Daphnia pulex: one gene and its partner. The protein of the gene in region 2 purifies or fractionates together with the protein of the main gene of each other region. This does not show direct contact. Links are inferred from orthologs where the notes say so. Each region holds a gene or a part of one and is shown on either strand. Other genes may lie near its edges.

What was found.
Region 1: the proteins of gem-associated protein 5-like (region 2) and U1 small nuclear ribonucleoprotein 70 kDa-like purify together in Homo sapiens (affinity purification with mass spectrometry; 4 studies listed by BioGRID and IntAct, counting the BioPlex papers as one, with this or other methods). This does not show direct contact. The link is inferred for Daphnia pulex from reciprocal best matches to the Homo sapiens genes GEMIN5 and SNRNP70.

Annotation. Positions count from the first base shown.
Region 1 is NC_060026.1:6,141,064-6,145,162, forward strand, and holds the start of U1 small nuclear ribonucleoprotein 70 kDa-like, read right to left. Parts: upstream 2,801-4,099; 5' UTR 2,509-2,800; coding exon 2,365-2,508; intron 1,895-2,364; coding exon 1,777-1,894; intron 1,708-1,776; coding exon 1,643-1,707; intron 1,505-1,642; coding exon 1,442-1,504; intron 1,381-1,441; coding exon 1,299-1,380; intron 366-1,298; coding exon 285-365; intron 82-284; coding exon 1-81. UniProt on the Homo sapiens protein: Component of the spliceosomal U1 snRNP, which is essential for recognition of the pre-mRNA 5' splice-site and the subsequent assembly of the spliceosome. SNRNP70 binds to the loop I region of U1-snRNA.
Region 2 is NC_060024.1:12,893,244-12,903,963, reverse strand, and holds gem-associated protein 5-like, read right to left. Parts: upstream 5,387-10,720; 5' UTR 5,260-5,386; coding exon 5,055-5,259; intron 4,991-5,054; coding exon 4,866-4,990; intron 4,809-4,865; coding exon 4,571-4,808; intron 4,503-4,570; coding exon 4,462-4,502; intron 4,393-4,461; coding exon 4,108-4,392; intron 4,049-4,107; coding exon 3,694-4,048; intron 3,632-3,693; coding exon 3,095-3,631; intron 3,021-3,094; coding exon 2,869-3,020; intron 2,813-2,868; coding exon 2,139-2,812; intron 2,070-2,138; coding exon 1,466-2,069; 3' UTR 1,369-1,465; downstream 1-1,368. Other genes in the region: glutamine-dependent NAD(+) synthetase-like, read left to right, coding at 1-567, 637-801, 1,156-1,242; CD63 antigen-like, read left to right, coding at 5,712-5,777, 5,857-6,036, 6,118-6,288, 6,344-6,469, 6,535-6,684; E3 SUMO-protein ligase RanBP2-like, read right to left, coding at 6,913-7,028, 7,122-7,221, 7,285-7,410, 7,481-8,186, 8,251-8,531, 8,601-8,950, 9,021-9,069, 9,128-9,335 and 1 more. UniProt on the Homo sapiens protein: The SMN complex catalyzes the assembly of small nuclear ribonucleoproteins (snRNPs), the building blocks of the spliceosome, and thereby plays an important role in the splicing of cellular pre-mRNAs.

The DNA of each region.
Region 1 (4,099 bases), on a different chromosome or scaffold from region 2:
GTCCTGAATGTTTTACGTTTACATCTGGTCCTCCACGACGAGTCCCACCCAAGCCTCCACCCAAACGGCGAGGAAGCCAACCTGGAATGCAATAGTTTAGGTACTTAGAAACCATGGCGGCATGATTATAATATCTAACAAGAAGAAAAAAATTTTGTGCACTTATTTACACTGATTAATCAAAATAAAAAACCTATGGATTTTCAAAACAAATTTTAAAATTTGCCTTCGAAAAAAAGGGCAGCAAACTATAAACATAAAACTTATTTAATTAAAATAATTACCTTTGACAGTCCTTGCCCTTTCTACGTCTACAAGAACTCTGCGGCCGTCTATTTTCTTTCCGTCGGCGTGTTTGTACGCAGCTGGTATTTTAAAACAACAAACCAGTATTTCGGCGCCGTCGGCAAAACGAACAAATCGTAAATACGGGTAGTACAGCAGGCAGAGAAGACGAAAAATTCAGCGTGTATAACATGGAGAAGGAGAGTTCCAACAATTAGTATCACAAACCTAATATCACCTACCGAAGGATCTCCATTACCTACCCCTCCCAGCAATTTCGAAAAATATTTACCGTGAATTAACAAATAACGAAAAATGCAATGATTTCAAGTATGACCAATCATAACACTTGGAAAATGCATAAAAAACCAACGCCACGGCCGTTTACCAGATTACGGCTATGTTCACGTAACATCCAGATCTATTAATAAGCGATCAAATGTTGCCAATCACAGAAGCAGATCCATTCCCTCTTCAAGCTGTCCCCATCTTTACCTGTGAATCCTCTTAACGCGCAGCAGCACTCGAAGAATCTGATCGAATTGAAATGGCCCTAATTTTTAGTGGCGCTAGAAAGCCTAGTAACCGACTTACCAGGATACTTACTACCATCAAGGGGAAGGGAGGGTGAAAACGAAAAGATACTTTCTTTGAAGCTAATTTGAACCTGCAGTCGATTTCAAAGGGATTTTGGTTTAACTTTAACCAAACGAAACCTTACCAATTGACCATACAAACCTAGCATCAAGAGACAAAAAGCGACAAAGGCCACATGACCGTCCAAATAGTCGGAGGCCGCGACTGTGACCGGAAACGACAAAATGAAATATAGGAAAACTTTAAGGTACAAATCAATCACAGATTTTCCCCACCTCACCCCCACCCCTTTCATCATCATACAAATTGGTGGTGCGACGATTAATTGAACAGTGAAAGCTATCGCAGGCCTTACTAATTAGCCCACTACCCTCAGTTACCACACGACTTAGGTATAATAGAAAAGAAATACTTACAATGCATGTCTCGCTCATGTTCATACTCGATGAATGCATAACCGCGTGGCTTACTAGTCCTCTTGTCATGCACCAACACAATCTGTAACATTAAAAAGCGTGGTAAGCGTGTGATTAAATTTCACATGGTGCTTGTAAGTTACCTTCCGAACAACTCCGTACACTTCAAACTCCCTGCGCAATTTAGATTCCGAAGTATCAAAATTCTGAGAGAAAATGTTTCAAGAATTATCGTTTCATTCATGCGGATTACTAGTTATAACTTAGCACTCATTATTCATTAAGCTCGAAATAAAATAAAAGTGATGAGAAAAAAAAATTATAGTATGAGTATTGACACTTACAATGCGAGCAACGAACAGCGTTTTGAAGGGGTCCATGGTAGAAACACCATTACTGTGTGGATCCCCTATGAATGCCAGAGAAAAGGGAAATTGATAAAAGAAATTGTAGAAACACACCAAAAATTAGAACTTACACATTGCAATTTCCTGTTCAAGTTTATAGGCAACTTGTTCTGCCTTTTCGCGACGTTTTCTTTCGCGCCGTTCATCCCGTGTTTCTGCTCGCGTAGGAGGGGGTGTATCTTTAGGATCCTGTTAAGAATATAAAATGATATTAAAAATTTCGTTATGTTTGAAAGCTCAGTACTTAGTTCATCAGAATGCTTCTAGTATGCAATGTTTCGTTCCACATCTCTCATTTAAAACTTTGTGAAACAATGACTACTTTACACCCCTCAGACATATGCTAACATTAAATTGTCAACCTGATAAAAGGCTCAGCTGGAAACACTGTGCTTCCAGAAAATTAAGACACTTTCACAACATTTTCACAAAATATTTTGCATCTCACATGTCACACATGAAAACTTGGGATTCTCATCGACACATCTAGAGGAGAATGAATAAATGAACCAAAACTGTTCCATAAATTGGGATTGGGACCCGTGCATTAGTAAATTAAGACATACATTACTTCCCAAATCAATCAAATTAGATCAAATTGCAATACTTACCTTGACTACTATATCAATTTTTAATTTTTAATGGAATCAAATACTAACCTCAAACAGATTTGTATACTGCGCTATACCAATGTATGGCGTTCTTTTTTTTTCATGAGTCAATTTATCAGGTGGTGGTAAAAATGGAGGGGGATCGCGTGGCGCAAAAAGAGCCAAAAGATTTGGAGGCAAAAACTGCGTCATTTCACAAATATTTCAATGAGCATGGACCTTTCAAAAAGCTTCTCGGTCGAGCGTCTTAGCTGTCGGCCATTAGTCCATTACTGTCTATCTATTGCTCGGCAGGGCTGCCACTTTGGTCTTTGGTGGGATTTTCCCACTTTTGAAATTTTCAAGTTTTTAAAATTGAAAATACCCGTTTTAAAAAACGGGTATTGTGGGATGAGATGGGATTGAGATTTTAGGAAAAACAGCGGGATTTTGTAATTTCTAATTTATCTGACCAATTTCATAAATTTTTTTTGAGCCGTAAATAGGCTAGCAACAAAATATATATTTGGCAACTAGAAATAAAACTAAATTTAAAAAAGCAGACGAATCAATACCAGATCAGAATCAGACATATATAAAAGTAAATAGTCACTACAGTCAAAAACAGCGTTTTGGCCCCAACCAATTTGTATCAGTTTTTACTTTTTATATTGTTTTAAATATTATAATCGTAATACTAGACCCCCGGCCCTTTAGTTTGCTTGTTGCTTATTGCTTATTGGATTTTAATGGGTTTGGCGCTGATATTTTTCATTAAATTTCTTGAAAGTGGAGTCTAGTAAGTAGGTAGTAGGTAACTTATAACATTTAAATTAATGCTCTTTAAGGAAAAAAAACTATAAATACTACATAAAAATAGACATAATTAGGTTTCAAATGAGACTAAGGGGGAATTTCTACGTGCATTTTTGACAAGGTTTAATATATGGTAAACATATTTTATACGGTAAGATTTATTTCATTACTGCATCTCAAAAGATTCAAGTTGTACAGCATCTTTCAATTACATCCAAGTCCCAAATATTGGTAAATAAATAAATTAGTTCCTTTCTTTCTTACAAAGCCTTTTCGGCCTTTTCTTAAATACATTGCTGATGCGGTTAAGTTCGGTTAATGTTATTGTGGTTTTCAAAAATCAGCTTGGATTTCAACTTCTACTTGCAGACAAACCAAAACAAAGTAAAAAAAAACTGTTCGATATTATTTGGCCTCTTGATGGCGTAGAATTCAATTATTGAATTAATTGAAATTAATGGTTTCTTAGGATTAGGAATGTCTTTAATCTTGATGTATTTATCGTCTGAAAGTTGAGACGGTGTCTCTAGCTCTCTACTTTAAGACCATAACAAAATTTTACTTTAGTTAGCTAAATTTTTTGCGCCAAAAAACTCATACTGTTTCGTCCTTCATGCTTAACTCAGCTTAAGGATAGGCCTTTTTATCGTTAGCACATGCAAAAAAATAAACAAACAAAACGCGGCAAAGTCTGATACACACGACATGATTCTGAATCGAGTTTCCATCATCACGTGACCGCAAGCACTCCGCCGGTCCGCCCACAAAAATAAACCCAAAAATGGAACCATACAATCTGTGAACATGTTTCCATAGTTCTACTAAGGCAGATTGCCCGAGATACCTAGATGGGAAAACCTCCTAAACTGAATAATTTGGATATATTATCCACAATTCCGCTACACCAAAACGCCAGTTGCTAATACATGTCGGCCCCAGCGGATTTGTCAGTGCAATTTTTCGAATTTTCTATAGGCTTTGCTCAAGA
Region 2 (10,720 bases):
ATCGACGCTGTTGTCTCGGCCGCTCTCAACATTTTCACAGTCGTCACGGGGCTCGTACCAAAGTTCAGAGTCGATGGCGGCAGTTTGCGAGAAAACCTTGCCCTGCAAAACGTCCAGGCCCGAATGAGGATGGTGTTGAGCTACTTGCTGGCCCAGTTGATGTTGTGGGCCAGGGGCAGATCGGGTGGTTTGTTGGTTCTTGGTTCTGCCAATGTCGACGAATCTTTGCGTGGCTACCTCACCAAATACGATTGCTCCAGTGCCGATGTTAATCCCATCGGCGGAATCTCCAAAGGGGATTTGAAGCGATTCCTATCATACGCCCGGAATGAATATTGTCTAACTTCCCTGGACACTATTCTGACAGCTCCGCCGACTGCCGAATTGGAGCCCTTGCAAGAAGGTCGTCTAGTTCAGACGGACGAAGAAGACATGGGTTTAACTTACGCCGAGCTGGGTGACTTGGGGCGACTTCGTAAACAGGCAGCCTGTGGGCCTTACACCACTTTCTGTCGACTAATTCAAAGCTGGAGGGGAGCAGGAACACCAGCTGAAATCGCACACAAAGTATACAATGTCTCTTTTATAAAAAGAAAAAAAATGGAAATTTAGTACCAAAAGAGTTTCAATTTCAAGGTCAAACATTTTTATCGCTGCTACGCCATCAACCGACATAAAATGACGGTGATTACGCCTTCCGTCCACGCCGAGACGTACAGCCCCGATGATAACCGCTTCGACCATAGGCCCTTCCTTTACAACGCCAAGTGGGGATGGCAGTTTCGCGCAATTGACGCTCATGTAAGTATATATCGAGCCGTTTCATGCCCGACAGCTATACTACTACTATGTAAGCTTGTGAATTATTCATTTAGGCTTTTAATGGAATTACCATGTAGAATGTAGAAGAATCCCGGTTCGCCTCGAGAATCTTTATCCTTCCTTTTTTTATTTTTTTTTATACTGCTACCAAAGTCAGGGTGAGGAGGGGGGGGGGGAGCTGAAAGGAGGAAGGGGAGGTTTTATATGCTAAGGCTGTTTGATCTGTGAAAACTGGAGAGGTGCCGGCGTATTGATCGGTCGGGAAAGCCATGGCTTACGCATGTCATTTTTAGATATGTTCCACCTCCTTTTTTTTGTTGTCTTTTTTTCTAGTTGGAGCACGTCAACAAGATGGTCGACACTGATGATCGTAAACTAGATAATGCGCACATGCAATCAGGTAATTCTATTGCATTTTAGTTAATGGCGAAGAAGAAAAGGAAATCACCAAAACTCACAATAACTGCTAATTGTGCGGATCAACGGGGAGCTCCTGTGTGACCGTCTAGATTCAAATTAATTAATAAGCCTTTAGATAAAAGGAGATTATCAGCATAATATGGGCTCAACAAAGCCGTCCATGTAATTAATTATTAGACTGTAATAATAATACCGTCAAATAATACACTCCCAGATACATCATTTATTCTCTCCCATTTTCTTGAATGATTTCGTCATTTTCTGTTTTCTCGTCTTCCGCTGCTGCTGCTGCTGTTGATAATGCGACGACTTCTTGGTTCTTGTCCGCTTGATCGATACTTTGAGATACTTCCGCAACGGCGGCATCGCCATTCGTCGGTGTAGGACTAGGTTTTTCAGTAGTCGCAGTGGCAGTCTGCGCAATGTCCGTAGCTTGTTGTAAATAGGCTGCAGCCAATTGATCCAGACCGGCGCTTGTAGCCAGGTCAGCCGACAAAACCAGAGACAACGGATCTGATCGTCGCGCCAACGTGCGAGCCGCTTCAGCTACCTCGCCATTGGCCAGGAAACATTTTACTGCCAATTCGAGATTACCATCTAAAACAGCTTTGCTGGCCCAACGAGAAAGACTCTCTTGAACTTGAGAACTTTCGTCGGGGTACTGGCAACGTGTAAGAGCCACGGCTTCACGATGTAACTGCTGACTGGAAAACATTTCAATTGCCTGACTCTTCTGGCCGGAAATGAGAGTATAAGACACGGCTTTCCTGACATCTCCTTCTGCCATCAGCTGCTGGGCGTACAGATGGGCCATTTCCCTCCAAAACCTATCGGATCAATACTCCAATTAATGATCGTCGAGTCTCATCTTGTGATTTAAAAAATGGCCAACTTACTCCAAAGAGACTTGAGGAGCCAAACTAACAAGCCAATCATTAAGCTGCCTTTTCTTTACAGCTTCTCGTAGCATCGATTCGACATCTCCTTGCCAGATTCTCAAATGAGCTGCTAGATCTGAATTAGAACCTTCTTGATGATGGTCGATCTCCTCCTGGAGCATTTGAACTGTGGAATCCCGGCTAGCAAAAAAGCCCAGATGAGCCAACTCGGCATCTCCGAAATCAGAGGCAGGACATGTAAAGGATTCCGGATCTTCGCCAATGACGGAATGTTTTAGAGTCACTCCTTTCAGGGTAGCCAATATTTTGCAGTCTTTCAAACCCTCGATTCGGCCACGGGCTTCAAGAGTGGCGCTAACCGGGAACAATGATTTCAGCTTACTCGGTGGCTTCTTTTTAGTTGTGCCACTTGAAGTTGCATGGCGACCAACAAAAGAAGAAGATTGAGGGGGTTTGTATGGTATTTTCTTTCGTTCCTTCAACGTTTTGACTGCAATAGATTCGGCAGGTGTCTTGTAGACTTGTTCTTTAACTTTCCACATTCGAATAGTCATGTCGTCTCCTCCTGTAACGGCCGTATCCTGTTCTAATGCGTTCCATTCGCAACAAAGCAATCTTCCGGTATGGCCACCAAAATTAGCCACTTGCTCTTTGTTGATCACGTCCCAAACCTGCAAATGCAAGTAAAAATAAAAGGGTATAATTAAAAAGTCTAAGAATGATTTACCTGTGCGGTTCCATCATAACTGGCAGAAAGAAGCTTTCCATCTTCATGTGGGCTCCAAGCCACCGACACCACACGTTCTTTATGACCGCTTAGAGTAGCCGCAAGTGTGGATGTTGCGGGTTCGTCGTTGTTGGCAACGACGACGCTAAAAACTGGAACAAAAGTAAAAAGGCGTCAGTCAGTCAATAAAACAAAAGGGGTCAAGATAGTTAAAATTTACACGTACCTTTGATGTTCACATCGTTTGAAGCCACTGCCAACCAGTTTTCAAATTTGGAAGGTTCCACACTTTGGAAAGTGAATGGCGGATGCCATTTAAGGCATTGAATAAGTTTTTTATGCGCAACGATAATCGTTAGCAAAGATAAATCGCCGCCTGAATAGATTTCCACAGAACCGTCTTCGTTGCCTACGGCTAGAAGAGAAAAGTCCACTTTCCATTGAAATTCCGTACGCGAAGGGAACTTTTGATTTTTTTCTCCTTTGCTTGCGATCAAATTATTGAAATTTTTTGCTTCCGTATCTAATGCTGATGGATCGTGAACCATAATGTTGTTCCCACCACAAGAGTAGAGGAATATCCCTTCCTTAGACGGCAGGGTAGCCCAGGATAAATTGTATACGGTACCCTTGTGGTAAGTGCGACTCAATTGAGGTGGTTTAGTTAGCGACAGTGTGTCAAATATTCCTACGCGTCCTTCATCGGTTCCAAATGCCAACCGGCCCTCTATTGTCGGATGCCACGCTAATCCACTCACTTTGCCTGTTATGATTGAATTGCAATTTTACTCTCTATACTGCATAAGTAGATTATATATTCATCACCTTTGATTCCATTCCACAGCATCATCATGTCAGGTTTCGCAGCTGCCATATTCCATAGTCTGATGGAGCAGTCTCCCAATCCCACAGCCATTTGGGATGAATCGATGGGATTGATATTCATGACGTAGATGAAACCACCCATGGTTGGCATACAAAGATGCGGATTCTCCATTTCTTGAATGCCTAACACTTCTTTTGGTACGTGGCCTTCCACTATGGGCCAAAGAATAACATTACGATCCTGCGCCGAAGTCCAAATCATTTCCTGGTTTTCTCCAGTCATGTATGAAGAAATATTGAAGAGTCCACGGCTGTGAAGCTTGTGAACGATCTTCCAAGACAATTTGGGCCCAACCTACAGCAAAACAAATTGATTAAATTCATGCAAATAAAAATTTAACTTAAAATTCTGACCTCCCACAAGATAAGTTCACCACTGAGTCCACTGCTCAAAATATGTTTTTCGTTTAGCCAATGTAAGGCTACCCAGGTCGCACGTTTATCATCCTGAGTAGACCGAGGGCGATGGACTCCAGTATTGCCAGGAAGTTTTGATTGGCTGACACATTTTCCTTCGTTAGTGGCCCAGATTTTAATAGTTTTATCTCGGCCCGAAGTCGCCAAGAATGTTTCCTTCTTTTCTTTTTCACAAATAAATACATTTCCTTTCAAAGGGCACCAAACGATGTTGTGTAGATCCTAAAAGAATTTGTTGTGAATTAATGACGACACTTCATGGGAAAACGCAAAACTGGTTAAACTTATTACATCTTCGTGAGCTCGCAGTTTATGAATTATACCACGGTTTTCTAAATGAAATCAATGATATGTGTGATGAAAAATCATGATAATGTTAGAGCAAGTACTGAATCATTACCTCTAACATCACATATGTACAGCAATCCACCTTTACAGCCAATGGCCAGCTGCCATGGAATGTGGGGATTGAATGACAGCATAAGAGGGTTTATTTTCCCATAATTGAGCTTCCGAGTGCTGCAACTCTCATAGCTCAATAGTAGCTCTGTTATTATGATGGTCCCATCTTCACTTGATGATGCCAAGATTTTCTTATCCAGTAGAGAAGACCAACTTAGACAAGAAATTTTTTGCTCCTAGAAAAAGATGTCAAATTAGATTTGTAGCTTGACAATATGTTTTACAAATATTACCTGATGTGCATTTTGTTCAAATACAAGACTCAAATCATTATATTTCCATATACAAATAGAACCATCTTCTCCAGCACTACTCAGCAACAAATTATTCTCTTCTGAGGGCTGATACCAAGACACACCTTCATATGAAAACAAAACCGATTAATTGAAAAGTGAACCTAAGGAAGTTTATGCTAAACTAACAAGTAATTTTATTCCTGTGGGCGTCCGGGATGACATTAGTTGTAGGATAACTGAAATTATCTCCTACATTACAAGATTTCACAAAGACGAGGCATCGCGAAGCAGCATAAACTAATACTCCAGACTTTTTGTGACATTCAAAAGCACCACTCAGATACCAATTTGGAGATGGAGGAATCACAATCTCTTTTTTATTTTCTGTCATCCTACAAGTTTAACTTGTACAATTTCTTTAAGTTGAAAACTAAATCTTACATATACGCACCATGTGCGAACAATTTCAAAACAACGTGCACAGACGACAAAGGTGGTGCTAAACAGTAAACCTTACTAAAAGCAGATATTACATAATTTATTTTTGAGATGGGATAAGTTAAGAAGTTGTAATAATTCTTTAAATAACGCTCAGAAAAAATTCGTTATTATGAATCATGAGCGATCCTTCGTGTTGCATAAAATAAAACAATTCTTGGCCGCTTCCAAGGGTAGCTCGAATTGTTCCTCATCAAATCAGAAATCAACGAACCTTGTTCGAAATGTGCGCGTCAAAAGGAATTCGTCACTTATTTCGAAGAATAGCTTACGCTCATAAACGTCGATAGATGTGTGAATGTAGGCTGATATTGTTTGTCATGTTCCAGAGTTTCAGTGAGCAATATGGAGACCGGAAGATGCAGTTTCGCTTGTGCATTTCTACATTTGTTCATAAATGTTCTATTACTGGTACGCTTAATTCTTTATTATTTACGAAAACTCATTGCAATCAATGAGTGACACAAGTAATTATTACGAAACATGGTAGGTTCTCGGAATGTGTTTACTTGGATTTGGACTAGCTGAAGAATCTACTCGGCTAACATCCATACTCTCGGCTGAATTGAAAATCGGAAGTCTTGCTGTTGTCATAGGAGTCATACTGATCGTTATGACGACGCTTAACTGTTGTTTCACTATTGACGGCAGTTCTGTTTTTTACTACATAGTGAGTAAAATAAAAATAATTTTCTTTCTCCCTATCTGTATCCGTAGTGAATCGTATTAAAGAGACGTTGACACTTGACAGTATGCAGGTTTCCTCGTACTGTTGTTCATTGCCATGGTTGGACTTTTGGTGGCGTTCGGTCCTGATTTCGGTACTAAAGTCAAGCAAGACATTAGAGAGTCTATGCGCGAAATGATGTATTTCGATCCCGACGGAAGTGGGAAAACTGGAATGGATATCACCCAACAAATGGTAAATTAGTTTACTTGGAAATTAGTCGGCTGACGTGATAAAGCGCTTGGTTTAGTTCCAGTGTTGTGGCGTTGATAGCTACAAGGACTGGAACAGCGTAGCAGGATATTCATTCATTCCTGATTCCTGTTGCGTTAAATCAGGATGCGACACTTCCTATCTGAAGAATATATACCAAGAAGTAATTAAATATTATTATTAATCAGTTACATTAAATTTAGTTTAAACTTAATTCTCACTTTACAGGATTGTGTCTCGAGCATGATGAAGTCGGTCGATGCCCTCTTCGCCAAAATAACCGCAATTGGGATTGCCATTACGATATTCCTACCTTTTCAAATCATTCTTGTCATTTTTCTAGTCCGCTGCGTTCCGAGTGATCCTGTCTATCAATAGTTAATTTGTTTGTTGCTACAAAAAGGAAAAATTTGATTGTGAAAAGAATAGACGCCCGTATCAGGTCATCTCAATTTATTGTTACGAATTAATCACACTGTGGAAAGGCCCGCAAAAGTACAATCGAGGGTGAAAAAACGAGTGAGTTCAATCATTGACAACTGAAAGAAACGTCATATCAAAAAGGGGGGTATCCCCCTGACCTACCAAAAAATAGGCAGAAAACATTTAATTCACATCATTTAAAATATCTGATAGCGCTCGGGCTAATTTTGGATCACAAGCACGAACAAGTACTGCCGGCTTGAAAGACGTGACGGCTCCTTCAGATGGCATGGATTGACCTGCAAAAGCTTAGGTGCTTAAGCTCTCTCTCGGAACATTTATTAACGATGAAAAAATCTATCTCCTCTCTCCGGATGTTCATTAAAACTTGCCTTCGACATAGTCTCCGTGATCGTCATTGCTATGGTCGTAGCCGGCTGCGTGTAAATCAGGCTCGTCGTGTACATCAGATTTCTCTGCATACTGCTTCGCCTACAACAACAACAACTATTAAAATATCGATCAAACGAAGTTGCTAGCTCAGTCAAGACTTACTTCGGCAAACATCGATTGGAATTCAAGCGCAGCGTCAGTAGAGCTGAACTGGGCACGGAAAGTCCTGTGCACAGATTCCTCAGACGAATAATCGATTGCCGACCATACGCACTCTTTGTTATCAACCTATAAATCAGATCATTAAGTTGGATGCAGTTCTTTTTTATACAAAGGGATAAAAGAAATAATAAAATACCTTTAGCTCAGTCTCAATAGCAATGACATTGTCACAGAGCAACTGCTCATTTACATCTTCGACAACGATCCTCGCACACAACATCTCATCGTCGTACACAATTTTAAGATTGCCGGTTCCTAAAAGCACCCATTTCTTGTCGGTCTGACCACCTTCCAGGGACGAGAGTGTGCAGCGCTTCTCGAACATAATGGACTCCTCCAAATCTTCATATTCTTCTTCATCTTGATCTTCTTCAACTGTTTCTTCATCTTCACCTTCTTCCTCCTCTTCTTCTTCAGCGTTCTTTGTTGCACCTGTCACTTCCGGTTGAGGAGTAACAGTAGGTAGAGTCTCTCCAGGTTTCATGGCTTCACAGCAAGGGCATTTTAGCACAGTAGCATCATTACGCGTAAAGCATCCTTGGCATTCCCAAGAACCTTCTTTGTGAGTCACAGCTAGAGTTGAAACAATGTTTGACTCGGCCAACGTTGGCTTTACTGCGGTCGTGTTCTTCCTTAACGCAGTTTGGCATTCCTCAAACTTAGTTTTAAAGAGAGTTGCCTGATCGTCTGTCTTAAAACGAACTGCAAATGATTCGGAGATTAACTCGCCCTGTGAAAAATCCATTGCAAACCAGGTCCAAGCAGTAGTAGAAGTAGACATGGGTTTCAAACTCATATCATCAGTGATCCAATGATTACATGCCAGTTTGTGAATTTGGTCCCTAAAACAAACAAATTCGTTACTTTCTTCAAGTCAGGTATCACGGGAAAAAATTATGAAAATACCTTCTCAACAGAATTCGGTAGGTATTTTTGTCCTTGTTATAAAGGATTTTTATATCTCCGACTCCTTTCTCCTTCCATTCCTTACTTTCTGCCACGTATCGGTATAATTTTGCGCGGTGAGAGAAAATGACTTCTTCATCCTCCTCACCAGTTTTCACCTCAACCAACGCCGGCAGAGGAATAATTGGTTCAAAGTGAGGATCGTTGCTTTCAGGAACTTCGTCGTTATCGTCTTCACCATGGTTGGTTTTATCTTCTTGCGGCGTCGCTGGACTACCCATCTAAAGAAATAATAAATTTAAAAAATTCATAAATCACTTCATGAAAGTGAAATCAAAATTAAATTTTACCCCAAAAATAGGTTGACCAGTTCCAGACCAGGAAAACGCGGCTGGCTTGTTGAAGCCACTGCCAGTTGAAGAGACTAGTGACGAGAAAGATAGCTGTGAGGCGGAGGCATCAATCATCTTGGCAAACGAAATTGCGTTGGAAGGAGTCTCGGGTTTGGCGACATTATTGGGCTTAGTAATGACGTCAGGTTTCGTGGTTACACTCTTGTCTTCAGGTTCACAACCACGACAACCTGGACACGGCGGAGCATCTTCGTACAAGAAAAAGTTAAGGGGGAGCTTGAGCTCCTTGGCTTTACGCTTCTGTTCCTCTGTGGCTTCCTTGGCGTAGACAAGTTGTACTTCATCTGCTATTTCGTGGAAGAAATATTAAAATTTAGTAACTCTTTAAGACAATAACAAAACTGTATTTGAAAGTACCTCCTGTTGCAGCTGGCGTGCTGGCGACAGACGCTGATGAAGGGGAAACCTAGAGCGCAGAAAAGATTAATTTCGAGCTAATTAATTTGCAATTAGTGCACGATTACCTTAGTCTCATTCACAGCATCCATGAAAGCTTTGCAGGTTTCTGCGTCACGAAATCTTATGGCGAAAGTCTCTTCTTTCTCTTCACCGTCAGTAAAGTCTTTAGCTTTCCATATCCAAGATTTCTCGTCTTTGGGTTTGAAAGTCAGATCAGGAGTGAGAGCGTGATTTAGACAAATCTTAAAAATTTGTTCTCGTCGCATTAATAGTCTAGAATAAAACAATAAAAACAAATGAATGAAAAAGGTTAATAAATTATAATGAAATACAACTGATAAGCTTACCTAGTTTTTCCAGTGTCTTTTTGTCGCAAGATTTTTACATCACCCAGGCCTCGCTCCTTCCATTCATTATCAACCAATCGGAAAAGTTTAGCGCGATGGCAGTAAACAACTTCCTCGTCTTCTTCTCCAGTCTTGACTTGAATTTTCTCTGGCAATGGAATGATGGGTTCAAAGTGAATGTTGTCACTCTCACCTTCATCATAGTACTCGTTGTCGCTGCTGACTGAAACGTTCGGTGAACGAGCAGTCAGCGTCGCTGGGCGTGCTGGGCTCGCAGCAGAAGGCGTGCCCATGGAGAAACTGAAGCCATTGCCAAATCCAGTAGTAGTGCTGGAAGAGAATGATGAATTCGCGCCAAACGAAGATAAAGTACTAGAGGCGGGCGTTCCAAATTTAAAGCCTCCTTCCGAACCAAACTTGAAGGAAGGAGCTGCTGGAGTGGTAGCGGTAGGTAAACTCTGTGTAGTAGCGGGAGCAGTTTCTCCAGGTTTAATGGTTTCACAGCAAGGACACTTTACCATAGCAGCATCATTGCGTGAAAAACAGCCCTTGCATTCCCAAGATCCTTCTTTGGGCTTAAACAATCCAGCGAAGGATGCAGTTACAGGTTGTTGAGGTTTGGTGGCAGGCTGTTCGGTTTTGTTAGGCTCTCCAGGTTTGCTAGTCTCACAAGATGGACACTTCATCACACTAGGGTCGTTGCGCAAGAGGCAGCCCTGGCATTCCCAGGATCCTTCTTTGGGTTTAAACTTCTCACCGAACGTTTGAGGTTCTTGGCCTTTCATTTCTTTCGCTGCTTCGACTTTTTCAATACTGATGTCAGCAGATTTCTTCTGGGCTTCATCGAAAACGCCCTTGAACTTCTGGGCCTGATCCATGGTTTTGAACCTCAGTGCAAAGGTTTCCTGAACTAGTTCACCCTCAGAAAAATCTTGTGCAGACCATGTCCATGTACGGTCTGATGTCTGCAAAGGCTTCGGTGACAGCTGAGGAGTAATGTAATGGTTGCAACAGATTTTGAGAACCTGATCTCTTCTCATCAACAAACGAGCTCGGCCAGTGATTTTATGTTCCAAAATCTTCATTTCACCTCTTCCCTTTTCCTTCCACTCTTTGGTTTCAGTAACGTAGCGATAGAGGATGGCTCGATCGATAAATAACAACTTTTCTTCTTCTTCGCCAGTCGATACTTCAATTAAGGCAGGTAATGGGATTACTGGCTCAAAGACAACATTGGGTTCATAATGTTCTCCTTCATTTTCCTCTCCATCCTCCTCCTTGCTCGTATCTTTCGTCTTATCGCTCGGAGTA